Linked DNA regions of Rattus norvegicus. The protein of the gene in region 4 interacts with the protein of the main gene of each other region in a pairwise test. Links are inferred from orthologs where the notes say so. Each region holds a gene or a part of one and is shown on either strand. Other genes may lie near its edges.

What was found.
Region 1: the proteins of Rab3ip (region 4) and Trappc6a interact in binary tests that used the Homo sapiens proteins (3 or more experiments, as listed by UniProt). The two-hybrid records come from large-scale screens. The link is inferred for Rattus norvegicus from reciprocal best matches to the Homo sapiens genes RAB3IP and TRAPPC6A.
Region 2: the proteins of Rab3ip (region 4) and Rufy1 interact in binary tests that used the Homo sapiens proteins (3 or more experiments, as listed by UniProt). The two-hybrid records come from large-scale screens. The link is inferred for Rattus norvegicus from reciprocal best matches to the Homo sapiens genes RAB3IP and RUFY1.
Region 3: the proteins of Rab3ip (region 4) and Plod3 interact in binary tests that used the Homo sapiens proteins (3 or more experiments, as listed by UniProt). The link is inferred for Rattus norvegicus from reciprocal best matches to the Homo sapiens genes RAB3IP and PLOD3.
Region 5: the proteins of Rab3ip (region 4) and Naa10 interact in binary tests that used the Homo sapiens proteins (3 or more experiments, as listed by UniProt). The two-hybrid records come from large-scale screens. The link is inferred for Rattus norvegicus from reciprocal best matches to the Homo sapiens genes RAB3IP and NAA10.

Annotation. Positions count from the first base shown.
Region 1 is NC_086019.1:88,290,366-88,294,917, forward strand, and holds the end of Trappc6a (trafficking protein particle complex subunit 6A), read left to right. Parts: intron 1-1,285; coding exon 1,286-1,353; intron 1,354-1,505; coding exon 1,506-1,623; intron 1,624-2,034; coding exon 2,035-2,118; coding exon of another isoform or gene 2,119-2,233; coding exon 2,234-2,327; coding exon of another isoform or gene 2,328-2,443; exon of another isoform or gene 2,444-2,859; coding exon 2,860-2,891; 3' UTR 2,892-3,128; downstream 3,129-4,552. UniProt on the Homo sapiens protein: May play a role in vesicular transport during the biogenesis of melanosomes.
Region 2 is NC_086028.1:35,205,104-35,210,947, reverse strand, and holds the end of Rufy1 (RUN and FYVE domain-containing protein 1), read left to right. Parts: intron 1-1,056; coding exon 1,057-1,105; intron 1,106-3,058; coding exon 3,059-3,136; intron 3,137-3,491; coding exon 3,492-3,635; 3' UTR 3,636-4,147; downstream 4,148-5,844. UniProt on the Homo sapiens protein: Activating adapter involved in cargo sorting from early/recycling endosomes. Regulates retrieval of proteins from endosomes to the trans-Golgi network through interaction with the dynein-dynactin complex.
Region 3 is NC_086030.1:25,315,983-25,321,826, reverse strand, and holds part of Plod3 (multifunctional procollagen lysine hydroxylase and glycosyltransferase LH3 precursor), read left to right. Parts: intron 1-1,442; coding exon 1,443-1,540; intron 1,541-1,729; coding exon 1,730-1,831; intron 1,832-1,999; coding exon 2,000-2,125; intron 2,126-2,259; coding exon 2,260-2,381; intron 2,382-2,535; coding exon 2,536-2,640; intron 2,641-2,741; coding exon 2,742-2,867; intron 2,868-3,030; coding exon of another isoform or gene 3,031-3,043; exon of another isoform or gene 3,044-3,083; coding exon 3,084-3,225; exon of another isoform or gene 3,226-3,329; coding exon 3,330-3,443; intron 3,444-3,568; coding exon 3,569-3,637; intron 3,638-4,731; coding exon 4,732-4,836; intron 4,837-5,717; coding exon 5,718-5,844. UniProt on the Homo sapiens protein: Multifunctional enzyme that catalyzes a series of essential post-translational modifications on Lys residues in procollagen. Plays a redundant role in catalyzing the formation of hydroxylysine residues in -Xaa-Lys-Gly- sequences in collagens.
Region 4 is NC_086025.1:54,443,043-54,449,455, reverse strand, and holds the start of Rab3ip (rab-3A-interacting protein), read left to right. Parts: upstream 1-2,455; 5' UTR 2,456-2,486; coding exon 2,487-2,737; intron 2,738-4,221; coding exon 4,222-4,480; intron 4,481-6,413. UniProt on the Homo sapiens protein: Guanine nucleotide exchange factor (GEF) which may activate RAB8A and RAB8B. Promotes the exchange of GDP to GTP, converting inactive GDP-bound Rab proteins into their active GTP-bound form.
Region 5 is NC_086039.1:156,805,790-156,810,830, reverse strand, and holds the end of Naa10 (N-alpha-acetyltransferase 10), read left to right. Parts: intron 1-218; coding exon 219-264; intron 265-357; coding exon 358-473; intron 474-727; coding exon 728-772; intron 773-2,263; coding exon of another isoform or gene 2,264-2,282; exon of another isoform or gene 2,283-2,297; intron 2,298-2,325; coding exon of another isoform or gene 2,326-2,338; exon of another isoform or gene 2,339-2,350; coding exon 2,351-2,435; intron 2,436-3,038; coding exon of another isoform or gene 3,039-3,129; coding exon 3,130-3,366; 3' UTR 3,367-3,453; downstream 3,454-5,041. UniProt on the Homo sapiens protein: Catalytic subunit of N-terminal acetyltransferase complexes which display alpha (N-terminal) acetyltransferase activity. Acetylates amino termini that are devoid of initiator methionine.

The DNA.
Region 1 (4,552 bases), on a different chromosome or scaffold from region 4:
CCCAGAATGTGACTCGGGTCTTCTGGCTCGGGAGCCAGCATCTTCACCACTGAGCCATCTTGCTGGCTGGCCTCCTTGGTTTCTTTGCTTTATTCTTATCATTTTTGTTCTAGGTGTCCTGGAACTCACTATGTAGACCAAGCTGGCCTTAAACTCACAGAGGTCTGTCCACCTGCCTCTGCCTCCAGAGTGATTGGGTGTCTCAGTGTGTAGCCCCAGCTGGCCTGAGTTTATGATTCCTCTGCCTCAGTCTCCCAAGCAGTGTGCTCATAGGCCTGTAACCCTGAGCCTGGCTAATTAACACCTTGATTCGAAATGTAGATGCCCTTCACCCAGCCCCCCACTCCCAACCCCTTACTCCCTCCCCGCACCCCCACCCTACCCCACCCCCGTCTGAGCTGGCATTTCCTTTGAACTCGGTGGTGCTGGGGTTAGACTGAACTTAGACTGAACACAAGGTCTCAGGCATTACTAGCTGAATACCTAACTGCTGAGCAATGTCCCTAACCCTTCTGTAACTGTGAGACAGGGCCTCTTACAGCCCAGGCTGGCCTTAGCTCACTGTGGCTGAGGATGACCTCGTCGTCCCCGTCCCCCCTCCTCCCACCTCCAACTCCCTGATGTTGGGGTTATAGGGATAGCCTATAGTCTTGTGTTTTTGTTTTTTTTCTTTTTTTCTTTTTTTTTTTTTCAGAGCTGGGGACCGAACCCAGGGCCTTGCGCTCGCTAGGCAAGCGCTCTACCGCTGAGCTAAATCCCCAACCCCATGTTTTTGTTTTTAAAGATAGGTTTTGGCCTTGTTGCCCATGCTGGCCACAGATACACTCTGTAATCAGGCACACATGACCTTCCTGCCTCAGCCTCCCAGAGAGTAGGAGTGACAGGTGACAGGTCTGCAGTGCCACTGTGACAACTTCTTAACCCTTCTCAAGCCCCCTGGCCTTAGTTGGCCATCCATCCCCCCACCCTCCCATCCGCCATTCTCATTAGCATCTGCAACCCTGGACCTGCTCAGCCCCTGACTCCCTGCTTCTCTGGTTGGGTGTTTGCACTGGCCACTGATGGCCTAGGTGAACTTGGCAGTTAGGCCCCAACCTCCCAGGACAGCATGGGTTTGGGGTAGGTGAGAGGGACCAGGCTCAGGGACCAAACTGCAGGAGACCAGCAGTGCTTCCAGGGATCTGATGGAAGGATCTGGAAGGTGAACTTTCCTGACCAAGGGAATTGAGAACTGGGGAGAAACCTGTGCAGTGTCCTCCTGAGCCTCCCTCTCTTGGCCTTCTAGGGAAAGAAGAAGAGCTTGTCAGTCCTGGAGGGCCTGGGCTTCCGCGTGGGGCAGGCTCTGGGTGAGAGGTGAGAGCCAGACCCACCTGCCTTCCTCTGCGGCTTGGAAGGGTGGGCAGACCTGAAGTGGGGTTCCTGCTGATAAGACGGAGGGTGGGGAAGGTTTCATGGGCCCACACATGTACCATATGGGCCAGACTTCATTCCACATCCTCATCCAGGCTGCCCCGGGAGACGCTGGCCGTTAGGGAGGAGCTAGATGCCCTCAAGTTCCTGTGCAAAGATCTGTGGGCGGCCATGTTCCAAAAGCATATGGACGGACTCCGCACCAACCACCAGGTGGGTGTGCGAGCCCAGCTCCAGCCTGGCTTCTGGGTGATACCTAGACTGGTATCACTGTCTACCCCTGCTCCTTGGAGCCCTAAGGGAAGCCAGGACTGCAGTGAGTGGCAGGGCTATTTCTTCAACTTCAACCTGCCCCTCAGGAGTGATCCCTGCAGTGGCCTCAGCATGACGGTTCTTGTCCCAGGCAAGTCCCAGTAGTCCCCTTTGAATACCCACGCTGTGCTCATTCCCTGCCACCACATCAAGGGCCAGAGAGTCAGCTTCTCCCAGCCCCCCTGCCAGGCAGGACTCCTTCCTAATGCCACATGGCCACAGGGTGTCCCACCTGTCTCGGAAGGATTGGCTGCTGGGTTTGTGGGTTCCCTGCTGCTAATACCCAGTCCCCACATTCTTTTCTGTTGACAGGGGACCTATGTGCTGCAGGACAACAGCTTCCCCCTCCTCATCCCCATGGGCTCGGGGCCACAGTACCTAGAGGAAGCCCCCAAGGTATTGGGAGAAACAGGATATGACCATCTGCCCACCCCGCTAGGCCTCTCCTGGGGCTGGGGCCTGGCCTCTCCTCTTCCCACACACAGTGTTCTGTCCCCCACCCCCACCCCAGTTCCTGGCCTTCACCTGCGGCCTCCTGTGCGGCGCCCTCCATACTCTGGGCTTCCAGAGCCTGGTCACTGCCTCCGTGGCGTCCCTGCCCGCCTGTAAGTCACTGGGGGTCGGGTGTTTGCTTCCCTTAAACGTGGTGCAGGCTTTGGGGCATCCCCATCTTTGGTCCCTCATCAGTGCTGGGAAGGGGAACCAGATTAACAAACTGTGACATGAAATTTGAGGCCCAGAAACAGGTAACAGGAACGGAACCACATACCCAGCTGCGTCCCTGGGTGCTTCTAAGAGAAGAAACTGGCACAGGACCCAGTGGGACATGTCCTACCCTGGCCAGGTTCCTGATGCTCGGAACAGTGGACTCACCACCCATCTGCCATTATCTTGACACCCCTCGCCCTGACAGCTGTCACCCCTCTATGAGGACCTGGGTTCAATGAGCAGGACATGTCAGGAGCTCAGGCTAGCCCTCCTGCCTCTGGGCTCCCCTATGGTCTGGAATTCGGGCCAGTTGGGTGGGACGGTACCCCTGTGACCCGCTCACTGCCAGGGCCCCCCAGGCTGTTGGTGCAGAGTCGGGTGAGCTGCTAGCCCCCTCACGGGCTTCCTGTCTTGGCCCTTCTGTTCCAGGTAAGTTCCAGGTGGTGATCCAGAAGTCCTGAGGACCCCAGGTTTGCCCTGCTCTAACCTCAGCCTCAGAATGTGGCATCTGGCCCTGCCTCACTGCTCACCTTTGGAGGCACTCACAGGCTCTGGGGAGGTCACATGTGCTTCCGCCAAGGAAAGGACTAGGAGGGTCCCGGGAGGTGGGACCCATGAGTTCAGAGTGGGTATGGAGGGACGTTAGGGCATCTCCCAGACATGTTCAATAAAGAAAGGTTCTTTATGAGGAAACAGACCTGTGTAGTGCTTATCACACGTCCCTCCCCACCCACACCCACCCTGTGAGCTCTAGGCACACCTGGCCTAGCTCTCTGGCTTTGCCAGCCAACAAGTCTGGGGCTGCCCCCGGCCCAGCAGGTCACACCCGCCACCTCGTTCTGATTGTATTTGTAGCATCCGGGGCTGCCCTTGGGCTTAAGCCTGCATTCTGCTGCCCACTGCTGCATGGGTAAGCACCAGGCCCAGGGACTACAAATGGAGGTGGCTGAGAAGTAACAAGGGCTGCTGGCTCTTCTGTTAATTTAATTGTGTGCGCTTGTGCTCAAGCGCATGTGCACTGAATCCAGTCCTCTGCAAGAACAGTTAGTGCTGTTAACTACTGAGCCTTCCTTCCAATCCGCCACCCCTAAGACAAGACCTCTCAGGGTGGGACAGGTGTGTCAGAAGTTAAGAGTGTTTGCTGCCCTTGCTGAGGACCCAAGTTCGCATCCCATCACCCACACAGTGGCTCACAACCACCCATAACTCCAGTTCCAGGGGATCCCATGCCGTGTTCCGACCTCACATAAACGCAAGCAAAGCATCCATACACATAAAATGCTGTAAAAAGATCAGGTCTCATGCAGCTCAGGTGGCCTTGAACTCACAAATGGTCCTCCTGCCTCAGCCTCCCACGTGATGACAGATGTGTGTCACAGGGTCAGCTGGTTCGCTGTGGCTAGGGCATCCACCTCTGTGGAGTTGGTCCAGGTCCTTAGCCTGCCTCTCCCCAGTTTCCTACAACTAAACTCTTTGTCTCCCAATTTACATAGTGTCCCCTGCCTGGTCCCTCCACCTTAGTCCCTTCTCAGGACCCAGCAGCCTGGGATCTCTGTCCCTTTGCCGCACAGCCTGTGAGCAGGAGCTGGCACCCCACGGTTCACCTCAACAATCCCTGCCTCCTAGGGGACAATCCCTAAAGAAGAGGCTTGAAGGAAAAGAAACTTCACAACAGGAGGAAGGTGGCCAGGCCCAACAGCAGGAAGCCCACATCCCCACCCCAGCTGATGTGAGGAAAGAGTTCTACAGTATAGGATGTACCTTGCCCAGCACCATCTTGGTCCTATTAGACACAGGGCAGAGCCCCGGAAGTCACCACCTGCTTTCAACTCCCCACTCTGTATGGTCTGGGGCAAAGGAAGGGCTTTGTGTCTCCGGGCCTCAATTTTCTCATCTGTGAAGTGGGCACTACCGTGGCTCTGTGGTTTCTGATGATAAAGGGACCTACGGAGTGGCCAGGCTCAGAAGCCACTCCCTGTATGTCTGTGCTGTTGCCAGGGTTCTGTGTGAGGTGCCCACAGCAGCACCTGGTAAAGTGGGTCAGCTAGTGCTGTACCCAAGGGCCAGCCCCAGGCTGGGTGGACTGTTTGACAACTTCAAAAAGCAGGTGCCAACCTGGCCT
Region 2 (5,844 bases), on a different chromosome or scaffold from region 4:
ATTGGCCTCCAGGGAAGCCTGGAACCTGAGACCCTGTCTCAAAAAAGTAAATAAATAAAACACAAAAATAAAAGTAAGGGCTGTAGACTCTGTGCTACAGTCATGGTCTACCTGCACCAACCTGCACTTCCGAGCCTGGGGCAGGGGCCCAAAAGGCCTGTGCCAATTGGAAACGCTAAAGAGGTGGAGGCAGGAGGATCACAAAGTTGAGGCCAGTCTAAACTACACATGGGATTGGGAAGATAGTTCATTGGATAGAGCACGTATTCGCTCTTCAAGCACGAGGACTGGAGCTTGGATCCCAGCAGCTACACTAACAGCCAGTGGGTAGGTAATCTGCCTGTAATCCCAACACTCAGGTAGGCAGGCTATCCCCCAGGGCAAGTGACTAGCTAAACTAGCCATGTCAGCAAGCTCTGGTGAGGTAAAGTGGAAAAGTGATCAAGGAGAACACCCAATATCGTGCATCTGTTCCCATCTGACATGTGCGAACAAGCATGTGAGAACACCCCACACACACACACACACACACACACACACACACCACACATGCACACGCCACACATGCACACACCGTACATACACACACCACGCATGCACATACCATACACACATCACACATACACACACACCGCACACACATATACACACCATATATACCACACACGCATACACCACACACACCACATATGCACACGCCACACATGCACACACACTATACACATGCCATACTTACACACCACACATACACATCCCACACGTACACACCAAAAAAAATCCAGAAGGTTCCCCTCAGATCGCCAGCACAGTGTTTCATTTTTGCTGACGTAGTTCTACCAACCTAAAGCTTGTGCAAGCCTCTCTTCTGTGTGAAGGAGCTGTTCATCCATTAAAGGCTGGAGAGTCACAGAAATGGGGAGCATTTTAAAAGCACCCTGTTTCATCCTTCCACTCCAGGGTCCGTCCGTACCAGCACCCGTCCCCACCCCCACCCCAGTCAGTACATTAGCTGTGTCTTCATCGTTCACTGCTGAAACATTGTCTCTGTTTCTGCAGGTCCAAACTGAAGATGGAGGACATCAAGGAAGTAAACAAGGCTCTGAAGGTATGATAGAATGGAGGGATGGATAGAATGGAGGGATGGAGAGAATGGAGGGATGGAGAGAATGGAGGGATGGATAGAATGGAGGGATGGAGAGAATGGAGGGATGGAGAGAATGGAGGGATGGAGAGAATGGAGGGATGGAGAGAATGGAGGGATGGATAGAATGGAGGGATGGAGAGAATGGAGGGATGGGTAGAATGGAGGGACGGATAGAATGGAGGGACGGATAGAATGGAGGGATGGATAGAATGGAGGGATGGGTAGAATGGAGGGATGGATAGAATGGAGGGATGGATAGAATGGAGGGATGGATAGAATGGAGGTATAGATAGAATGGAGGTATGGATAGAATGGAGGTATTAGATAAAATGACTTCTACCAACAGAGTCACAGCCCAGCGTGCTGCAGTGCTGCAAACCCAACATTCAGGAGGCAAAGGCCACCAGTCACGGAGTTGAAGGCTGGCCTAGCTAGGCTTACACAATGAGACTGTCTCATTGAACAATAAAGACTACTCAGAGTGCCCCCCCAACACACACACAGTGGTGACAGCACAGTGAGCAGGCATTCTGAGACGTCAGCGCTGCAGGTGGACAGGCAGGAGCTGCTGGTGGCTGCTGTTCTAAGACCCTAGCCCTAAGCCCAAGCTCTTGGTAGACGCTATGCCCGTTGGCTCTCTGACCTTGTGTGCTTGAGAAGTTAGCAGACAGCAGGGTCTCTGCTCTGCATGTCCACGAGGTGCCAGGTAGAGAGGGCCTCCTCATCCAGTTGCCACAGCAGAGCAGAGGGGCTCCTTCAAAGGGAGCCCAGCAGGAGTAGGGATTCCTGGCTGCTCCTGCTCTTGAAGGAAGCTCCTTTTTTTTTTTTTAAAGATTTATTCATTTATTATATATGAGTACACTGTAGCTGTCTTCAGATACACCAGAAGAGGACATCAGATCCCTTTACAGATGGTTGTGAGCCACCATGTGGTTGCTGGGAATTGAACTCAGGACCTCTGGAAGAGTAGTCAGTGCTCTTAACCGCTGAGCCATCTCTCCAGCCCTGAAGGAAGCTCCTTGATTGTAATTGTTGGGGGCTGCTGTCTCTGTCTTGCTATGCAGTGTGTGCGTGACAGTGGCAGCCGACAGCTCCAGAGGGATTTTCAAGAGTAAGGGGGAGTACCTTAGGTAGCCCCAGCAGCCTGCTCCTCTGGTAAAGGGTGTCATGGGCCCTTCACACTTCTGCAGAATTCCTAAGGGAGAATACACTTTAGTTTTCCCTTGTAAAAATTTGCAAGACATCCTCTTCCAGAGCCTCCGTTTTCATTTATGTAAAGTAGCTAAGCTGTTCCCCGAGGCCTCTTGAGGACCCAGGGCCGGGTGTCCAGAGGAGCTTCACTGGGCTGAAAACTTCCCTCCCCTGCATGTTGTCTCTGCAGAAGTCCATGCTCAGATCTGGTCAGCCTTCCCTCCAGCCAATTTAGCTAGTCATGGGATCATGGCTCAGGCCAGACATGGGGGTTACAGGCACTGGAGTTTGACTGTGGTGACCTCAGCTACAGGGAACTTAATAGAACAGGGAAGTCAGGTGGTGGTGGTCCACACTTTTAATCCCAGCACTTGGGAACCAGAGGCAGTCAGATCTCTGTGTTCAAGGCCAGCCTAGTCTGTAGAGTGAATTTCAGGACAGCCAAGTCTACAGAGAGAAGCCCTGTCTCAAAACAAACAAAAGGACAGGATAGCATCTTTGCTGAATCAGCCTTGATAGCGGCCAGGATGCTGTAAGCAGGCACTTTATATGGACATGCGAAGTCCACTGCAGCCACTTGAGAGAACAGACGTCATCATCTAGTGAAGCAGCAAGGCCTGGTGAGAAAATGCGGCAGGCAGTCACAAGATAGTAGGTGCAGCCAGCCAGGGACTGCCAGGGACTGCCAGGAGGTACAGTTCTCAGGTGCTCTTTCTTCCTCAGGGCCACACATGGTTGAAAGATGATGAGGCAACACATTGTAAGCAGTGTGAGAAGGACTTCTCCATTTCCCGGAGGAAGGTATGTAGGAGCCACTCCTTGGTTGCCTGGAAAAGCCTCTTTTCACTACAGCTCTGCCCATTGATCGGCTGAGCCCCTAGCCCCACGTTCTCTAATGACTGGCATGGGTGGGGCAGCCATGTGTAGAGCCATGTGTAGTTCTGTGTAGAGCTGCTGCAAGTGTGTATGACACTGGCAGTCCTCTATATGCAGCAGGACCAATTGGTTGACTAACAGGCAAACCACCTGATCAGTTAGAGGCTGCCTAAAAGCACATGGGTCTAGGACATAGCCATTTAGAGAAGCCATGCCTTACATGATAGGTGTGGGGTCCCACTTCCCCAGTAGTCTTAACTGCCTTTGTCCCGACTTCTAGCACCACTGCCGGAACTGTGGCCACATTTTCTGCAACACCTGCTCTAGCAACGAGCTGGCTCTGCCCTCCTACCCTAAGCCAGTGCGTGTGTGTGACAGCTGCCATACCCTGCTACTGCAGCGCTGCTCTTCCACAGCCTCCTGAAGCCATCAGCCCTGCCAGCAGGGACCTTAGCCTGTTGACCTCCATCCTCAAGAGTGGAGGGAGCCTCAGGTACAGTGCCAAACTTGGGATCTCCAGAGACCTGCAGGGACCCAAGAGAATCAAAGGAAAGAATGAAGCCTTCACCAGGCCGTCAGCCTCTGAAGAGAGCGCCCAGTGGCGGCTGAGCACTTTCCATGGCTTATGTGGAGCCGGCTCCTGTAGATACTTCGTGTCCTCGGTTATGTCCTGGCTTTGGGACAGGTGCAAACTCACAATTTTGCTATGCCACTTTCACTCTTCGGAGGATTGACCTGTTTTGCAGCAGTTTGCTAGTACAGAATCCTCTTTCCTACCCGCGTCCCACAGAAACCTTGATTTCTGCTGTGCTTTGAACCGTGTGGGTCTGTCAGCGTGCCTTGTCCGCTTCAGCACCCAGCATTGGCCATCATGCCCCTGGCAACTCCTACTGTTAGCCCTGCAATAAAGTCCTTTATTTTTCACTCTTGTACAAAGTGCTGGCCTCCAGCTTGCCTGGGGAGGAGGGCCTGCTGGGTTTGAGCTCTTCAGCTGTGTTGCTTTGACTCAGGCTGCTCTATCCAGGTGAACCAAAGCCAGGGTAAAGGACCTCAAGCCTGTCACCAAAGTCCAACTGAGTTACTTACACAAATGCCTGACTCAAAGTGGAGTTACATCTGCATTGCAGTCAAGTACAAATGAGCCAATAACGACCACTGTACAGCCTCAGCCTGCCTTGAAAGTCCTCAAAACACTGAGCCTGTAAAAGGCAGATGGCTAACAGGTTTTTTTTTTTTTTTTTGAGACTAAGTCTCAAATAGCCTGGTCTGGTCTCAAATTCAAATGTAGCCAAGACTTGAACCTTGAAGGTATTCCCTTGCCTCTACCTCCCAAGTACTAGCATTCTAAGCATGTGCCACCATGTCCAACAAAACACACAAAACCTATTTTATACATGTTGGGTTACCTCAAGTAACTTACTGAAAACTGGCTGAGTACTTTTTTTTCAATTTATTTATTTTATGTATGTAAGTACAATGTCCCGCTCTTCAGACACACCATAAGACACACATCAGATCTCATTACAGATGGTTGTGAGCCACCATGTGGTTGCTGGGAATTGAACTCAGGACCTCTGGAAGAGCAGTCAGTGCTCTTAACCTCTGAGCCATCTCTACCATGGCAAAGCTGAGCCATCCATCAGGACCATGTAGCTACATGAGACTTGTAGTGCTAGCAGACATCTGTGGTCATGTAGACTGTCTATCTTCCTTATGGTACCACCCAGTGCAAGTTCACATACCCCTCCCAAGGTCAGTGTTCTCAGACTTCTTTAGGCAGAAGTAGGCAAGTGCCAGGGTACAGGTCAGATAGGAGCTTACTAGAAGTTCCCTCTACCACGTGGAGTCCAGGGATCAAACTCAGTCATTAGGCTTGGCAGTAAACACCTTTACTCAATGAGCCATCTTGCTGGCTTGACTCTAAGTATTGAAACATCTACTCTCTTGCTCTCTCTTGCTCTTCCCCCTTTGTCCCTTCTCTCCCCATTCCCCTCCCCGCTTCTCTCCATGTACTCATGGCCGACCTCTACTCTTCTACTCTTCCTTATCTCTCTCTTGTCCCTCTCCCCCTTGTCTTGTCATTAAACCTCTCCACTTGGAAAAAATATCTAGCTGCACATGGCAGTCAGTCTATACCTGACCCTTTGTTCACAAATGACACCTTCACTGCTGAACCTGACCTGATTATTGTCCAGACTCAGCCAAAATCAATCCAAGCCTGTATCTCCTGCTTCCCATTTCAGTCAGAACTGGTACCAGCACTTTAGTCTCCAGACTTTCCATGTTTTGTAAATGAGAAACAGGATGTATTAGGCCTCTGTCTCTTCTCTAACCCCCATTTACCCAAAGTTCTATAGCAAAAACTGCACATCCAGGCTTTAAAAACAGGCTTGAGTAGCTCCCAAGCCATTAAACCCAGTGAGAAGATACAGTGGAATTCACTCCTCTACCTGAGCCCATTTTCTAACCTCAAACAAAACCCAATTTTCCCACAAAGTTCACAAATTGTAAATAACTGGGAGCATTAGTCATTTAACTTGTTATCACACCTTTCCATCTGTGTACAAAAATAAAAAGCAGGGTAAGCCCCCCCGCCCCCATTTCCATGCCACTGATCCTCCAGTAAAAGCACA
Region 3 (5,844 bases), on a different chromosome or scaffold from region 4:
GTTGCTCTACAGCTGACCAGTATGCTTAAACATACTTACCTGAAGCCTATGCATGTGTGTTAGTGGTAGTGAGGCTGGGAATGTGGTGTGGCAGCAGGGTACCAAGGATTTGCCTGTGAGAGGCTGGGGGTGTGGCTCACTGGTAGAGCCCCTGCCTAGAATCCCCCAGTGAGGGGCTGGGGGCGTGGCTCAGTGGTAGAGCCCCTGCCTAGAATCCCCCAGTGAGGGGCTGGGGGCGTGGCTCAGTGGGAGAGCCCCTGCCTAGAATCCCCCAGTGAGGGGCTGTGGGCGTGGCTCAGTGGTAGAGCACCTGCCTAGAATCCCCCAGTGAGGGGCTGGGGGCGTGGCTCAGTGGTAGAGCCCCTGCCTAGAATCCCCCAGTGAGGGGCTGGGGGCGTGGCTCAGTGGGAGAGCCCCTGCCTAGAATTCCCCAGTGAGGGGCTGGGGGCGTGGCTCAGTGGGAGAGCCCCTGCCTAGAATCCCCCAGTGAGAGGCTGGGGGCGTGGCTCAGTGGTAGAGCCCCTGCCTAGAATCCCCCAGTGAGAGGCTGGGGGCGTGGCTCAGTGGTAGAGCCTCTACTTAGAATCTCCAGTAAGGGTTGGGGGTGTGCTCTGGTAGAGGGTTTGTCTAGCATACAGAAACCCCAGGTTCAAATCTTAGCACCATCCATAAAACAAAGAGAAAAACCAGTGGTTGGATCTCAGGTATCTATCAACCAAGCATGTTCGAAGGCACCCCCTCAGGGACCCTACCGCTGTGATTACATTAACATGGAGCTTTTGCGAAGGGCGTGTTCCCTGGCTGCCAACCTCAGAAGATCCTTTGACAGGTGAAGAAACTGACTCCCTTAGCCTAGTGATAACTCCCAGGTCACTCAGGTAGAGTAGGAGAGTTCTCTAAACGGGCAACAGCATGGTCAGACTTAGAAAAGTCAAGTGTGGTGTTCTGTCCTCAATCTCAGATCTCAGAACGTTGAGGCAGGAAGATTTCGAGTTGCAGGCCACATAATGCAGGCCACTCATCACAAAAGGGAGAAAAGGACCCCAATTTTTTTCTCATGTATTTGTTTTTGGAGGGGAGGGTAGTGCGAGCGCGTGGCATCTGCAGAGGTCACAGGATGATGCTTGAGAAGCTCTTCCTTCCTTCCACTGTGTGGTCTCTGGGTGGCAGGCTTGGTGGCAGGAGCCTTTATCCACCGAGCTACCTCACCAGCTCCGTTCTAACATACTATATAACAACTTAAGAAAATAACGTTTTTATAATAAAGTTTTAGCTTGGCAACAAAAAGCAAAAACCACTACCCTAAACTACAGGCCTTTGGCTACACACCGCTTTGTCCACTAGAGGAGCTGGGGACCCCCTCACCTCACACTTTAAGGAGCTGGTTGCTTCATGGTTCCCAAATGAAGGAACTCTCGGAAATCTTCCCCTTTCCCCCCCAGATGAAGTGGTCTTAAAGTTCGACCAGAACCGTGTGCGCATCCGAAATGTGGCCTACGACACGCTTCCTGTTGTGGTCCATGGCAACGGTCCCACTAAGGTGTCCCCAGTGCCCTTAGCCCTTGGTACCCCCAACCCTCCTGGACCACCTCCCAGGTTTTCTCTAGTCCCAGCAGAAAAGGGGTTGGGACAGTGCCTCCTCACCCTGCTGACTTTTTCCTGAGCCCAATGTCCTTCCCATCTGTCCCCAGTCACCTCCACATTAGCCAATCAACCCCTGTCTCAACAGCTCCAGCTTAACTACCTGGGGAACTATGTCCCCAATGGCTGGACTCCCCAGGGAGGCTGTGGATTCTGCAACTTGAACCGGAGGACACTCCCGGGGGGGCAGGTGAGGAGAGTGGAGATGTAGGCAGAGGGCAAGCAGGACAGCCTTGGGGGCAGAGCTCCTGCCCACCCTGACATGGTAGCCTCAGGGGCAGTGAGTGACTGGCTGGCCAGGGATGTGGGCAGAGAGAGGTCCGGGCTCCTGTGAGCCTTGTCCTGTGGTGTCCTCCAGCCTCCCCCCCGGGTGCTTCTGGCCGTGTTTGTGGAGCAGCCCACTCCCTTCCTACCTCGGTTCCTGCAGCGCCTACTGCTCCTGGATTACCCGCCGGACAGGATCTCTCTTTTCCTTCACAACAACGTGAGATATGGGGAACACGCACCCACACCCCACTGGACCCTACACCTCTTCCTGTCTGTCCTTCCTGATTGCATCCCTCGTGTACCACCTCTCTGCCCAGACTGTCAGTCCATCCTTCTCCTATCCATCTTCAGGAGGTGTACCACGAGCCTCACATTGCAGATGCCTGGCCACAGCTCCAGGACCACTTCTCAGCTGTAAAGCTAGTGGGGCCAGAGGAGGCCCTGAGCTCAGGGGAGGCCAGGGACATGGCCATGTGAGTGAGTCTACCTGGGCCGTTGTCACTCTGGGGAAGGAGACATTGACCTCATCTCAGAACTGGGAGAGCCCTGTTCTTCCCGCCATCCCCCGTGCCCGGCCTCCATGCCCCAATTGGGCTCATCTCTCCCTTTGTGGCTCTTCCCCTCCAGGGATAGCTGTCGGCAGAACCCCGAGTGTGAGTTCTACTTTAGCCTGGATGCCGATGCTGTCCTCACGAACCCGGAGACCTTGCGTATCTTGATTGAACAAAACAGGTGACCGACTGCACTTATGAAGCTGGGAGCTTCAGCCCTTCCCTGGGTGGGGCGTGGTCCGTTTGGACGGAGGCCCCTCCTCACCGGCGTTTCATTCACAGGAAGGTAATAGCTCCCATGCTTTCTCGCCACGGCAAGCTCTGGTCCAACTTCTGGGGGGCCCTGAGCCCCGATGAGTACTATGCCCGCTCCGAAGACTACGTGGAATTGGTGCAGCGGAAGCGAGTGTGAGTCCCACCCCTGTGTACCGTGGGGGTGCGGGGCCCTTCCCTGGGTCCCACCGCAGCATCCTGTACAGCCACTAGACAGGCCACTGCTGTGGGAGGGGTGCTATGATGGCTCAGGCTCAGGGTTCTGGGGGACCCTGAGAAGGCCCACCTGTAATTCCAGCCTGAAACAATGAATAAAGCGTAGTCTGAGGGGTTGTCCACCGGTGCCTGCAGGGGCTTGTGGAATGTACCCTACATATCCCAGGCATATGTGATCCGAGGAGAGACCCTGAGGACAGAGCTCCCCGAAAAGGAAGTATTCTCCAGCAGCGACACAGACCCAGATATGGCTTTCTGCAGGAGTGTCCGGGACAAGGTGAGTGGGGTGGTTGGCATGGGTTGCCCAGTCTGGGGACTCGACGCTGTGTCACAGCCTCCTGATGTCCTCCTCACGCATGCCCACCCTTTACCCCACTCCAGGGCATCTTCCTGCACCTCAGCAATCAGCACGAGTTTGGCCGGCTGCTGTCTACTTCCCACTATGACACTGACCACTTACACCCGGACCTCTGGCAGATCTTTGACAACCCTGTGGTAAGAGGGGGACCTTTGCTCCCTGTTTCCAGCCAGCAGCCGCACCACCATTGCCCACATGGGAGGGACAACCCAAGGGTAGGCGTGAGGAAGGCTCCACTCAGGTGCCCTAATCCTTCCTGCAGGACTGGAGAGAACAGTACATCCATGAGAACTACAGCCGGGCCCTGGATGGGGAGGGGCTGGTAGAACAGGTAAGCTGCCCCAGGACCTTGGGCTGTGTGAAGCACCCAGTGCTGGCATTGGTGGGTTCTAAGCTGAGCTCCCAGGGACTAAGGGTTTGCTATTCGGGCAAGAGGGAGGCTAATAGCCACACTGAGTGTTATGGGTCTGTATCTTAGAGGTTTGGAAGCTGATGCAGGGGGATGAAGAGTTTCGGGCTAGCCTGGGCTGCATAATGGGTACCAGACCAGACATGGTCAGATGGCAAGAAGGAAATGCCAGATGGGTGTGGTGGCCCATCAGGCTGTAATTCCAGCCTGAGAAGGCAGAGGCTGAGGATCCTCAGCAAGTTGACCAGCAAGACTGGCTGCATCAGTGAGCTCTGGGTTCGATTGAGAGATCCTGCCTCCCTGGATAAGGTGAAAGGACAATGGAGCAGTTCCTGATATCAACCTCAGTCCTGCACAGGCGCACATGTGCGCATGCAACCCCCACACAGCTGTGCCCACCGCACATAAAAACAAACAGAGGTGTGGTCATGCTGAGAATACCAGAGCTCAGGTAGTGGAGGCAAGAAGATAATGAGGATTCGGAGTTGCAGGACAGCCTCAGACACATAGCAAGTTCAAGGCCATCCTGGATCACATAGGGAGACCTTGTCTGAAACTAAAACTAAATAAATGGGCTGGAGCCGTACCTCAGTTGGTAGAGTGCTCGCCCAGCATTCACAAAGCCCTAGGTTCAGTCCCCAGCACCGGATAAACTGAGCACAAAGTGCATGCCTGTGATCTCAGCATTCAGGAAGTGGAAGTAGGAGGATCAGGGCCAGCCTCAGCTACATAGTGAGTTTGAGGACAGCCTGGGCTACCAAAGACCTTGTCTCAAAAAGCGGGGAAAAGACAGAACAAGGTCATTGTCCTAGATGCTGGGGCTCCAGGCACTCTATTCCTGCCCTGCTGAAGTCCCTTTACTGAGCACCCCTCCTCCAGCAGCGACCTGGAGAGCTTGGGTACCCCCTTCATGGATTCTTTCCTGTATGTCTCCCCTCCCTGTCCTTGTTGCCTGTCCTACCTCTTGCCTGTCTTCTGTGACCTTGCCTTGTCCCTTGCTGCCCTGCCCTTCCTAGCCATGCCCAGATGTGTACTGGTTCCCACTGCTGACCGAGCAGATGTGTGATGAGCTGGTGGAGGAAATGGAACACTATGGCCAGTGGTCTGGAGGCCGGCATGAGGTGAGGCAGAGGGCACCTGAGAGGGGCAGGGAGGGATCCCGGGGGCAGGGCTCATAAAGGGTATGCTAGTTACTTGCCTTGTTGCCGGGAGAAAGTATCTGACCAAAGCAACTTGAGGAAAGGGTTTTTACTGTGGCTCACAGTCTACAGGCACAAGTCCATTATGGTAGGAAGGCATGGCAGGAGTGTAAGAGAGCTGGTACATGGTCACGTTGCATCATAGTTGGAAAGCAGAGAGATGAGTGCTGTTGCTCAGCTTGCTTTCAGGCCAGGACCTGAGCCTAGGGAATGGTGCCACCCACGGTGGCCAGGTCTTCCCATCTCCCTTAATCTAAGCTGGATGATCCCTCCTGACTCGTCCAGAGGCTTGTCCTCTAGGTGAACCCAGGTCCCATCAAGTCGACAGTCAAGGTTGGCTCTAACACAGAAAGTGCTTCTTTCCTGGGCAATGGGTATTAGACAGCATGACCAGGTAACACGGGTAGGTCATGTGGATTCACAGCAGAGTTAACAAAGGCAGAGACTAAAAGGCCCAGCAGCAGTGAATCAGAATCTGACAATAGAAGAGAAAATTCTTCTAGATGGCAGAGACCAAAAGAGACTCTGCTGGGCAGTGGTGTGCACACCTTTAATCCCAGCGCTCTTGGCAGAGGCAGGCACTCTGAGTTCAAGCCCAGCCTGGTCTATAGATCAAGTTCCAGGTCAGTTTGGTTACACACAGAAACCGTGTCTCAAAACAAAACAAAAACAAAAACAAAAAAACAAAACAAAACAAAACAAAAAACCAAACCCTGGGAACCAACAAGAAGCAGCTGGAATTGTCCCTGAGGGAGAATGGGCTAGCCCAGGGATGTGGGCGGCTCAGTGTCTGTTGTCCACAGGACTCCAGGTTGGCTGGAGGGTATGAGAATGTTCCCACCGTGGACATCCACATGAAGCAGGTGGGGTACGAGGACCAGTGGCTTCAGCTGCTGAGGACATATGTGGGGCCCATGACGGAGCACCTGT
Region 4 (6,413 bases):
TTGTAGTTAGGATAAAGTGTCAGATGAGTACAGGCTGCTGCCACTGCTCTTGGTTAACACCAGAACTAGGTTATAAGAACCTAGCTGAAGGAAGACACCATATACTGGATATGGGACAGAGAAAGCAGGCTGGCTCTGAGCTAGAAGCTTCTTCCCGCTGGCTGGTGGTGCTCATAGTGCCAGAAGGTGTAGTCTCCTGAGGGGAGAAAGTCAAAGGGCTGGACCAGCTGTAGAGCTGCAGGCTACAGTTCTGACCTACAAAGCGGGCACGCCCACTGGTGCACCATCGGCAGGAAGCGGGCGCGCCCACTGGTGCACCATCGGCAGGAAGGTTGTGGGATTAACCAGTCTCCTCATTGATGCGAGCACTGCTGTGTGGGTGAGAAAAATGATTGATACTGTAAACCACACCACAGACTGGGGGCATCGGGTCCTAGCGGAGATCATACTCCTGCATTTTGCTAAGTGGGACATGCAGCCAGCTGCCTCCTAAACGTGTGTTAATACCCAGAGGCCAGTGCAGCTCCCAGCTGGGCCAGAGCAAGAATAGCGCAGAGACTGGTAAGAGGCCAGAGCGCTCGGAGTAGGAGCCGGGGGTAGAGAGGGCGCTGCGAGATGCTCTTCTCTGGCTGTGGCCTGACTGTGGTGTGGCTGCAGCAGTGCTGGGCGCAGCAGCTGTGGCTACCTGCCTAAGACCTGCACGGGTGAATGAGGACCTGTGATAGGAGGGGCTGGTTGGGAAGAGGAGGTGCGGTGGGAGTGGGAGAGGCTGAGAGAAGGCAGTGGGGCAGATGAGCATGGTGGTCTGTACATACAGAAGGCTGTCAGAGGTTTAGAAAGTCAGTCAGTGTGAATAAGGCTCAGTTCTTTTAACTCTATCAGGAATTAGTGAACTATATTCAGAGACAAATGAAATGCATACTTTTAGTATAACCTCTCTGGCTGTATTTTGTGTGTGAATTATGTAAAAAATGAAAATGGTTCTTTTCAATAAAACACAAATTAGGAAGTATTATCTGAGTTTTCATTTGGCACAGTAAATATTTTGCATTGCATTAAACTTTGAGGTCTGAAATTGCCGTCTGCTGTTAATAAATGTGTTACTAGTTAATTTCTTTACTTTGAAGTTGGGAGTTTATAGATTTAGCTGGTAAAATTTTGGTTGTTCCTACATACCCATGTAGTAATCTATAATTTTGAGAGAGTATCAATATTGAGTCTACTGTCTTCTTTCTGGACTTTCCACACTATTTTTAGTCTCTTCTGGATATTCTTTTAAGGGTTTTTATTGGTGATAGGGGATAATTAAAGTTTTCAGTTTACAGGTGTGTAAATATTTTTGTATTTTTGGAAGAAGTGGTGTGCGCAGCTGGTGCTGGGCTTTTGCAGGTCTGGGAAGGATCATTCAGTCTCCAAGAGCTGCTGGAGGGAGGATGGGAAGGGGAGTTTGGACTTTTCCCTGTGTGTGTGTGTGTGGGGGGGGGGGATCAAAGAATAGTTTACAAGAGTCTTAAGAGGACAACTTGAGGGAGACCTGCCTTTTTTGTTGTTGTTGTTGTTGTATAGACTTTGTAAAGTTATTGAACAATGCTGTACAAAGTATTTCCTGCTGATGTAGAAATCAAAGTGTCCTTGTTATTCTGGCTGTGGGTAATGTTCACAGGAGCACAGTGCTGTAAGGGCTTGTCTTCTTTAGTGCTCGCCACACCCAGGAGACGGAGTACTTAGGCCCGTCCCGTGGTTTGGGTTAGGGAAGTGAAGCATGTAACCTGGGACTGGATCTGCTCAACCCATAAAGTCCAACCTTGGAGCAGTCCGTGCACTCTGAGTGGAGCATGGTCGCATCTGGTGGTAATTGTGGTCAGTTGTTATCACCTAGATTTCGATACTGATTTTATGATTAGCTGGAAGACTATCCTTGGACTTAGCTGTGTACATGTCCTTGTGTCTGTGTACATACAGTGGCTTGAACATTCTCAAGTGGCTCACAAATGTTAGCACCCTGGTAATGAGGACTGCTTCATGGCAGCTCTGAAGTTCTTATGAAATCTGAAATGATTTCAAGATGAAAACCACTGGTTTGTCTGAAAGTCACAGTGGGGGCATAGACTAAGTTAGTTGGACCTAAACTCCCTTGTTCTAAATGCGTGTGTGTTTATCTTTACTGTCCTTTCTGCTTTTTCTGACCAAGGTTATAGAAGAAATAGATATAGAAGAAATTAAGAAAGCTTTCTTCTTCCCTCATGCCTGTGGATTGTATCAGCTGTGACAACATTTCTATATTTCCACATCTCTCCCAAATCACTTCTGCGTAGTACTTTTACCATGAGATCTCTTTGTAAATGTCAAGCGGTTGGACTCTTTTTATTGTTGTTTTTTGACTGTATTTTATCATAAGCTTATGCTCTGTGTGGATTTTGGTTTTGCCTAGGATTAACCACATTCTTTTGTGCTTAGCTTAGGCTGTCCTATGATGAAGTCTTGCTATGGCTAACGACCCCTTAGAAGGTTTCCATGAAGTGAACCTCGCTTCGCCTACCTCTCCAGACCTTCTTGGTGTGTGTGACCCGGGAACCCAAGAGCAGACTACCTCCCCGAGCGTCATCTACCGGCCACACCCTTCGACGTTGTGCTCTGCCACTATCCAGGCCAATGCCTTAAATCTTTCTGACCTTCCCACACAGCCTGTGTATTCATCCCCGAGGCATTTAAACTGTGCAGAAATATCTAACATCAGGTAGGAGATTATAGCACACGTACTTTGGGTTATTGTTATTTTTAAGAGTTGGCTGGCTTGTCTTAGAAAATATGAGTAATATGTTTGCCCATGTAGAGTGATGCATTTTAATCCTTAGACCAGGAATCGGCAAGTTTATGAATATGATCAGCCAAAAAAATGTTTTAGGTTTAATATGATGCAGGATAACTGATCACAAAAACCTGTATCTGGTTTTGGTGTGGCTCAGCCCTAGCAGACATCTTTAATCCCAGTACTTGGGAGGTACACTCCTTTAATCCCAAAGAATGAAGGTAAACTTAGTTTGTTGAAGGAAGCACATGTTTGATTGAAAGTGATGTCTAATTGAGTGGCCACAAAGTGACGAATCAGAGAAAGATTTGACAGAATAGGATATGTCCGACTCTCAAGAGAAGAGAGAGGAAAGGGAAGCTACTTAAGGGTCTGTGCAGAGAGAAAGGAGGCAATTTTACTGGGTCAGCTTATAGAGACAGGCTGAAGAGAGAACAGGCTGGACACAGGTGAAGACAGCATGAGCCAGAGAATGAGAAGGAGCCAGAAGGTTAGAACAGATCGTCGGAGTTAGTTTGAGGCTAAGCAGAGCAGTTCAGGAGTAGGTGAGAGAAGCCAGATTGGATCCATCAGCTCAGAGAGGAGTTTGAGCCAGGATAGCAGAGTTGACCAGCCAGCCAGAGTTCAGAAAGAATTAGACAGGGCAAGCTTATTCAGCAGCAAGTCTCAGAGGTGGAATTCTAGGCCTACGTTAGATTGTACAGAAACTAGAAGTTTCTGGGACTAGGCCTAGGTTAGCAGACTGAGGTGGTAGCCCTCAGAGATGACATTTACTACAGGCAAATGAATTATTTTTTTACATTAGCAGGCCACATAGTTGATTTCTTTTTTTAAAGATTTTATTTGCTCTTATGTTTTATATGTGGTTGTTTAGCTTGCATGTGTGTCTATGTACTGCATGTGTATGGTACCTGTGGAGGCCCAGGAACTGAGTGGGTGCTGTGTCCTCTGTGAGAATAGCAGGTGCTCTTAACCACTGAGCCACCGCTCCAGCCCTGGCCATACAGGTTTCGTTCCAACTCTTCAGTGTTATTTCTATGGTGTGAAAGCAGCCACAGACTGTGTAAATGTGTAAGTATGACTGTTCCAGTAGAACCTGTGGCCATAGAGACTTCATACAGTTTTTGCAGGTCATTCAGTGTCACTGAATTCTAGTCATCTGTTTCGGGCTTGTGGGTCTTAGGAACAGGCGGAGACTTGATTTAGACTTCAGGCTGCAGTCCTCGAGCCCCGAGGCTCCTTGAGAAGTAGTTTGTAGTAACACTTTCTGTGGTGTGCAGTATGACTGATAGCCACCAGCCACATGGCTGTTGAGCACTTGAAGTGTCAGGTTTGAGGACCTGCGGTTAGTGAGATGTAGATTGGCAAGTTCACTGTTTCGCTGCAAACCTCTGAGCTTTCTCTCCTTCCAGCATTCATGTTCCAGAGCCAGCATCATCGGTAGCCTCTGAGGTGGCAGCAGGGCTCACGAGGTTCACCTCAAGGAAGGACAGCTGCAACGCAGAGAGGGAGTTTCTGCAGGGCGCCACCGTCACAGAGGCTTCTGCTGGCAACGATGACATCTTTGGGTTGAGCACGGACAGCCTGTCCCGTTTACGGAGCCCATCTGTTCTGGAAGTTAGAGAGAAGGGCTACGAAAGGTTAAAAGAAGAACTTGCAAAAGCTCAGAGGGTAAGAAACTCATGTTGTCCTTCCATACAGTGTTAGAAGTGACTGCTTGGGGTGGCAGCATGAATGGCCTCAACAGCCTTGCCTTACCTAACTCAACCTCGGTGGGCAGGCAGCATCTGTGGCTTGTGAGATTGCTTTAGAGATTCAGAAGCTCTGCCTGGGAGTAGGAACTGGAGAACTGAGGTTCTGAAGCTATGGACCGACTACCGTGTGTCTTGCTTTATTTGTAATACTCTTTCACGGGTTAAATCCCACATGAGTTCCACATGGTTCACTTAGGTGATTGGCTTGTGAAGGCCTCCAGTCTAGGCCTTTTTACTTGGAGGAATTGTTGCAATAATGTTTGTTACTGTTTTTTCTTCTGCTAATTGTGAAAATTGCCTGTATTTTGTTTGGAGACTTTTCTTTCCTTGATAATATGGCCAGCTCTTACTGTCCCCCAGCCCCAATTGAGACGGAATCACAGAGCACACTCTATAGTGTTAGGAGACAGGGCACGCGTGTGCGTGCGTGCGTGCGTGCGTGCGTGCGTGCGTGCGTGCGTGCGTGCGTGCGTGTGTGTGTGTGTAGAGGCAGAAGGCAGCATGGGATGTTTTCCTCTGTCACTCTCTGTCTGCTCCTTTGAGGCAGGATCTCTGTTGGACCTGCTCTCTTGCTTAGGCTAGAAGGTCTCAAGCCCCGGCCGTCCTTTTGTGTCCTCTCCAGCTGCTGGGCTGTTAGAGGCGATGCTAGGATGCTGACTTGTTTCATGCGTGCTGGGATGAGCTCTGGTCCTCGTGATTGTGCAGCAGACATTCTTAACTGTTTAGCCCTCTTTCTAGCTTAGGAAAACTCATGGTGAACAATGTTACTTTATTAGCCTAAAAATAAAAGAAGAGTTCGAACAGTGAGTAGAAGAATGAGATGGTAAAGATTGAGAGCAGAATTCAGTGAAATTAACAAGAGAAATAGAAAATGAATAAAACAAAATATGGATTCTTTAAGCCAATAAAATTGACAAACCTCTGGCAAGACTGACAGGAAAAATAAGAGACAGATTATCAAAATTAAGAATAAAACAAGTATTGCTCCTGACCCCACAGACAGCAGAAGTAAAGTTTATGAATGATTCCATGTACATAATTTTGACAGTTGTGTCAAATACTAATTTGTATTTTAAAAATTGAGAAGATATGTCATGCACTCTTTCTTTGTTTATGACATTGTTCAGGCATGTGTCCCCCATCTATTATAAATGAACGTAAACATTCATTTATGTTTGTTCCTGCGTGCCTATCTCCTAGCTCCCTTGAGAATCTCTGAAATCTTTAGGTTGTAGTACTTGGAGCTGGGTTGAGGTAACTGAAATGATTATGTTATATGAGCATATACATACTGAATTTTATTAGGATGAGTATAATATAGCTTTAACTTTGTTTTTTGGGTTTTTTGTTTGTTTGTTTTTTTTTTGTTTTTTTGTTTTAGGAGCTGGGGACCGAACCCAGGGCCTTGCGCTTGCTAGGCAAGCGCTCTACCACTGAGCTAAATCCCCAACCCCATAATATAGCTTTAATGTCAATGTGTAGGACTCAAGTCTTGAGGAGAACTCGAATATTGCAAGTATTTTCTGAATTCTGATAACTTATGCATTAAAATTATGCCATTGACCTTTTGTATGTTGATGACTCTTAGCTGTCTTGTGTCCATCCTTTTAACCTATTAGTATTTTTCTGTTTAAAGTAAGTCTTGCTTTCTGTCCTTTTTGCTGATATGTGCTCTTTAACTGGTATCTTTAGACTGTATATACTTAACACAATATTCTTAAAATTTGGCTAAATCTATCACTGTCTTACTGTTTGTATTCTGTTGTTCTCGTTGACCTACTTTATTCCTCCTTTTGTATTAGTTCATTTTTTATAATTTCAGCCTTTCTTTCTTGTTCACTGGCTAGTTT
Region 5 (5,041 bases), on a different chromosome or scaffold from region 4:
TGGGGATGACTATTGTAAGGTGATCTGTTGACACTGCACATATCTTGTAGGTGTAGCATGGTCATGATTGGTTCTTCTGATTCAGAAGTTCCTAGCTCTTCTCTTTTTGGATCTGGGGTGCTGTAGGATCAACCACAAAGAGTTTGTGCACCTGCTGTGCACAGGTGTTCCACATAGACAGTACCCATACCAGGCTCCTTTCTAGCTTTCTCTTCTAGGGAAGAGGACCCAGACGATGTGCCCCATGGACATATCACCTCACTGGTGAGTAGAGCTACTGAGGGTTTGGAAGAGGTGGATTGGACATAATTGAAGGAGCCACAGTGGTCGCACTTCTATCCAATTTTCTTCTCTCAGGCTGTGAAACGTTCCCACCGGCGCCTTGGCCTGGCTCAGAAGCTGATGGACCAGGCCTCTCGAGCCATGATAGAAAACTTCAATGCCAAATATGTCTCCCTACATGTCAGGAAGAGGTGGAAGCCAAGTTGGGGAAAGGGCAATGCTGGGAAGTGGGGAAGAAGGGGCAATGCTGGGAAGTGGGAAGGAAAGGGCACCCAATTGATAGTGGTTCTGGGGTTTACTGCCTTCATAAGAATATGGGGAAATAGTGGGAAAGGGGAGGGGGCAAGGAAGAAGGGCAGGATATCCCTAACCCTAGCCCTAACCCTAACCTGTCAACCTGTCTGGCCAAGTTTGTGAAGCTCAGCAATGCCTTTTTCCCTTACAGTAACCGGGCTGCCCTACATCTCTATTCCAACACCCTCAACTTTCAGTAAGTACATCAAGATATTTTCTTTAAGTGGCATGATCCATCCAGTTTGCTGGGCTGAGAAAGGGGTTGAGGGACTCTAGACATTGCTGGGAGGGTTTCTGTATACTCATTGGCTATTGACTGACCTGAAGAAAGCATCTGTTTTCTCTGTGTGTGGTAGAGGAGGGTCCAATATATGTTGGGTATAGGAGGGGTGGCTTGGTACTAGTGAGACTGGTGAAGGGCAGTGTGGTAAAGGACTCACAGGGCTTCTCTGTGATAGTCTAGGAGTAAAGAGAGATAGACTAGAGCATGAGCAAAGGCTGAGAAATGGCTGGCTCCAGGAAGCATCAAGTAAGAGCAGATGAAAGGGGACAGCAAGGAAAGGGGGCCATGAGCAAAAGCAATGAGGGACCTATTGCTCTGAGTGTTTCTGATGGCTGAGGGCAGGACTCTGGACATGACCATCTCTATGAAGAGAGGACTTAGTAGTACCTAGTGCCACTTGAAAGTGAGGCTCGAATAGACTAACTTGAGGAACCACTGAGCCACACTAGACTTTGAGGGGGTCCAGTGAAGATGACACCATTGGAACAGGATGGTGGTCTTCAGCTTTTCTGGGTTCAACATCCATATTCATGGAGGGACTTTTGACCTAGTTAAGATGCCTCTGTGGCAGGAACTGCTTTACCTGCTAAGTCAGCAGTTCCCAGCTGGGTATGGTAGTACATGTCTCTTAATCTCTGCACTCAAAGTGGAGGACTGTGGGTTGCAGTCCCAGCATAGGGAGTTCCAGGTTAGTCTCAACCACATAGCAAGACCCTGTCTCAAAAGATGGGTGCTGAGGAGATAGCTTAATTGTGAGGACTTGTGTTTGATGCCTGGCACTCATGTATAAAAGCCACATACAGTGCCCTGTACCTATTATCCTAGTGCTGAAGAGGTTAAGACAAGAGAATCCCTAGGGTTCACTAATCAACAAGCCTAGTTGAATGGACAAGTTCCAGATTCAGTAAGAGACCCTATTTTGAAAAAAATAAGATGGAAAGCAACTGAGGAAGTTACCCAGCATGTATCCCTAAAGACTGGCAAGGAACCTTCCTAGGTCATCAACGGGTTTCTCTTCCAGTGTCAGGGATACTTAATTGTGCACACACACCTCCCTCCCCTCATCCATCTGGTGAGTAACCAGGTTGTCTATGATGACCATCTACATGCAGGTACAGTGTCCCTCTTTCCTAGCAGAGGAACTATGTGTTCAGTAAATAACAGGGAGCAGGTCAGGGAGAGGAAGGCAGAATTAAGGACTTCAACTCAATACACAAGTCCTTGATGGTTGGGCTAGGGACAAAGTGGTAGCAAGTCTAGGAATCAGAAGTGCCCTGGATGCTACATGCTATTTGGCTTTACTTGAAGAGCAGAGAAAACTATCATAGCTGTTGAACAAGAATCCAGTCAAATGAAAAACAAAAAGGAGAAACCCATTTACACTGGCTTTTTGCCTCTACAAAGGTCCTACAGGGGGAGATGACATTTACCCCAGTAGCCTAAGAACCTGGAGAATTTGCCCCTAGGCATGTGTCTTGATCCTACCCCCAGGATCAGCGAAGTGGAGCCCAAATACTATGCAGATGGGGAAGATGCATATGCAATGAAGCGGGACCTCACGCAGATGGCTGATGAGGTAAGAGTTCAGCCAGGCCAGGGCAGCAATTCCAGCAGTAGAGGAGATTCTGTAATTGGGAAAGGTGTCTATTTTCAGTGAGACCACAGAAAGTACAGATGTCAAAGAGCTGTGAGACAGAGTGAGGCAGTGGCGACTAGAGGCAAGACCGAGACTGAGTGTCAGCTTTTGTGGTTGTAAAGCTAGGAATCAGAGCCCCTCTTTCCCTTACTCCCTAAGCTGTCAAGTCAGGGCATGGCCTTCATTGACTGTAAAGGAGGCCATGGGATGCTTTCTGGGGAAGAAGTCTGGAGATGGGTGGAATAGGAGAGACAGTAGGAAGATTTTTTTTTTAACAGAGGAATTGGGACTACTATGGTTGGGGGCAGCCTGCTCAGATCTAGGATTAAACTGGGCTAGGGAGAAAGGGTCTCTCTGACCAAGCCTCCTGGAAAGGCACTGCTCTGTCTTGGGGGCTTCCCAGCAGCGTATTTGAGGGCAATAGAACTCATGTCATTTTACAGATGAAGCAGGCTTAGGACAGAGGTAGGATTGAACTACATTTCTACCCAGTCCTATTTCCTGCCTTGGCCCTACCACTTCTCACTGTGTCCCTTCCCCCAGCCAGCCCCAGGGCCTGGCTCCTCTTGTCTCCTGTCTGGAGACTTAGGCCCTGTCTCTTTCCACCCGCTTCCCTCTGGGCTCCCGGCGGCAGCTGAGGCGGCACCTGGAGCTGAAGGAAAAGGGCAGGCACATGGTGCTGTCGGCCATGGAGAACAAGGCGGAGAACAAAGGCAACGTGCTTCTGAGCTCAGGAGAGGCCTGTCGTGAGGAGAAGGGCCTGACTGCTGAGGATAGTGGTGGGGACAGCAAGGACCTCAGTGAGGTCAGTGAGACCACAGAAAGCACAGATGTCAAAGACAGCTCAGAGGCCTCTGATTCTGCCTCCTAGAACCTGCCCTACCTGGTCCCAACCTCACCCCATGTGCTTTTTACAATAAATGTCACCCAGTGGCCTTGGGAAATTTGTGAATGTGCATAGTGGGGTATGCTTTTTTTCCAGCTCCTATATGGCAGGGATACTATCTTCACAGCCCAGAGCGTACTGAGCTCACAAGTCAAATGTTTGAGGATGGGACCCCAATCTGGCTTCCTTCAACAACTGAGTTGGAGTTGGCAGATAAACTGTCTTGGGTGCCATATTCTCATGTCACTTTCCTGGCCTTCTACAGATCTCTGTAACATCTTTAGTAATTTTCTAGGGCTGAACAAAATGATTTCTTGGGTTTTCTATTCAGCCTCACATTTCAGAGGCAGCTCCCCTACCTTGATGTTCTTTGCTGCATTGCTTTACCCTCTCAGCCCTTTACTCCTAGTCATACTTGCTCTCTCATCAGTAGGAGCTCCAGTTTATACCTCCTGGACCCCAAGTGCTTAAGTCCAACTCCTCTTTGCACTTATCTGGAGAGATCCTAGCTGGATCCTGGCCTATTCAGTTACCCAGTTGCTCAGGCTTTTCCTATCTGTAGCCTTTTAAAAAATTTTTTTGTGAAACAGGATCTCTTACTTAGCCCAAGCTGGCCTGGAACTCATTATGTAGCCCAGGCTGGCCTCAAACCTATGCCAATCCTGCCTCAGACTCTAACGTGCTGGGATTACAGGCGTGAACCACTCCTCCATTAATATTTTATATTTGCTGTGAGGCAGTGGTGGCACACTCCTTTAATCCCAGCACTTGGGAGGCAGAGGCAGGTGGATCTGTCTTTTAAGCTCCAAACTAGCCTGGTCTACAAAATGAGTTCAGGACAAGGCTATGCAGAAAAACAAGACAAGACAGTTCTATGCTTTATCTAGTTCTTGACTACCATCAGGATACCCTCAATGTCTTGTAATATTTCTGCAGTTTCTGGTAGGTGCATAAAGTCAAATAAAATTGAACTAAAAAGAAAATGTGAGTCCACCCCACTTCCGAATGCTTTATCACACCCTCATCCTTGCATTAACATTTGCTCCTCTAAACGTACGCGTGGTTTCTAGACCATCACTAGTGGCTCCTAGGTCCTAGGTGGTGGGCTTTCCTTGGGCCGCTCACCTAACTGCAATGCACCTTTATATAAGAACTGTCACTATACTAATAATGTCCTTGGTCCTGCAAGTGACAAAGCGATCCGCCACTATGTGGAATAATTTGTTCTGGAGCTTAGTACTTTATTTGGTTGTACAAATCATTTATTAGAAACTGAGAAACAGGCGACTAAAGGACAGAGCCCGGGGAAGAAAATTCGCAGCAGCAGCAGCAGTCGCAGCCACAGCCCCATCTCTGATTCAAGCGAAACTGCGTTCTGGTTGGCTAAATCAGCGGCTTGTTCCACCCAGCGTGCTGATGTCGGTTCCTGTTCGCAAGCCGGTGACGTTCTTAGTTCTCAGGCTCTGATTGGTTCTGCAGCACTAGACCCACCGCCCTGAAGCAGGGCGGCCGACATGCGCACTGGCTCGGCCGTGCCCTAATGGTGGGTGGGGGAGCTTGCGGATCCTCTTTAGGCGCATAAGGAAGCTTCTCGAGGCCGGCCCTCTGCGCTGGTTGCTTAGGTGTCATTGGCGGCCAGCTGAAGCTCTGCTGTCTGCCC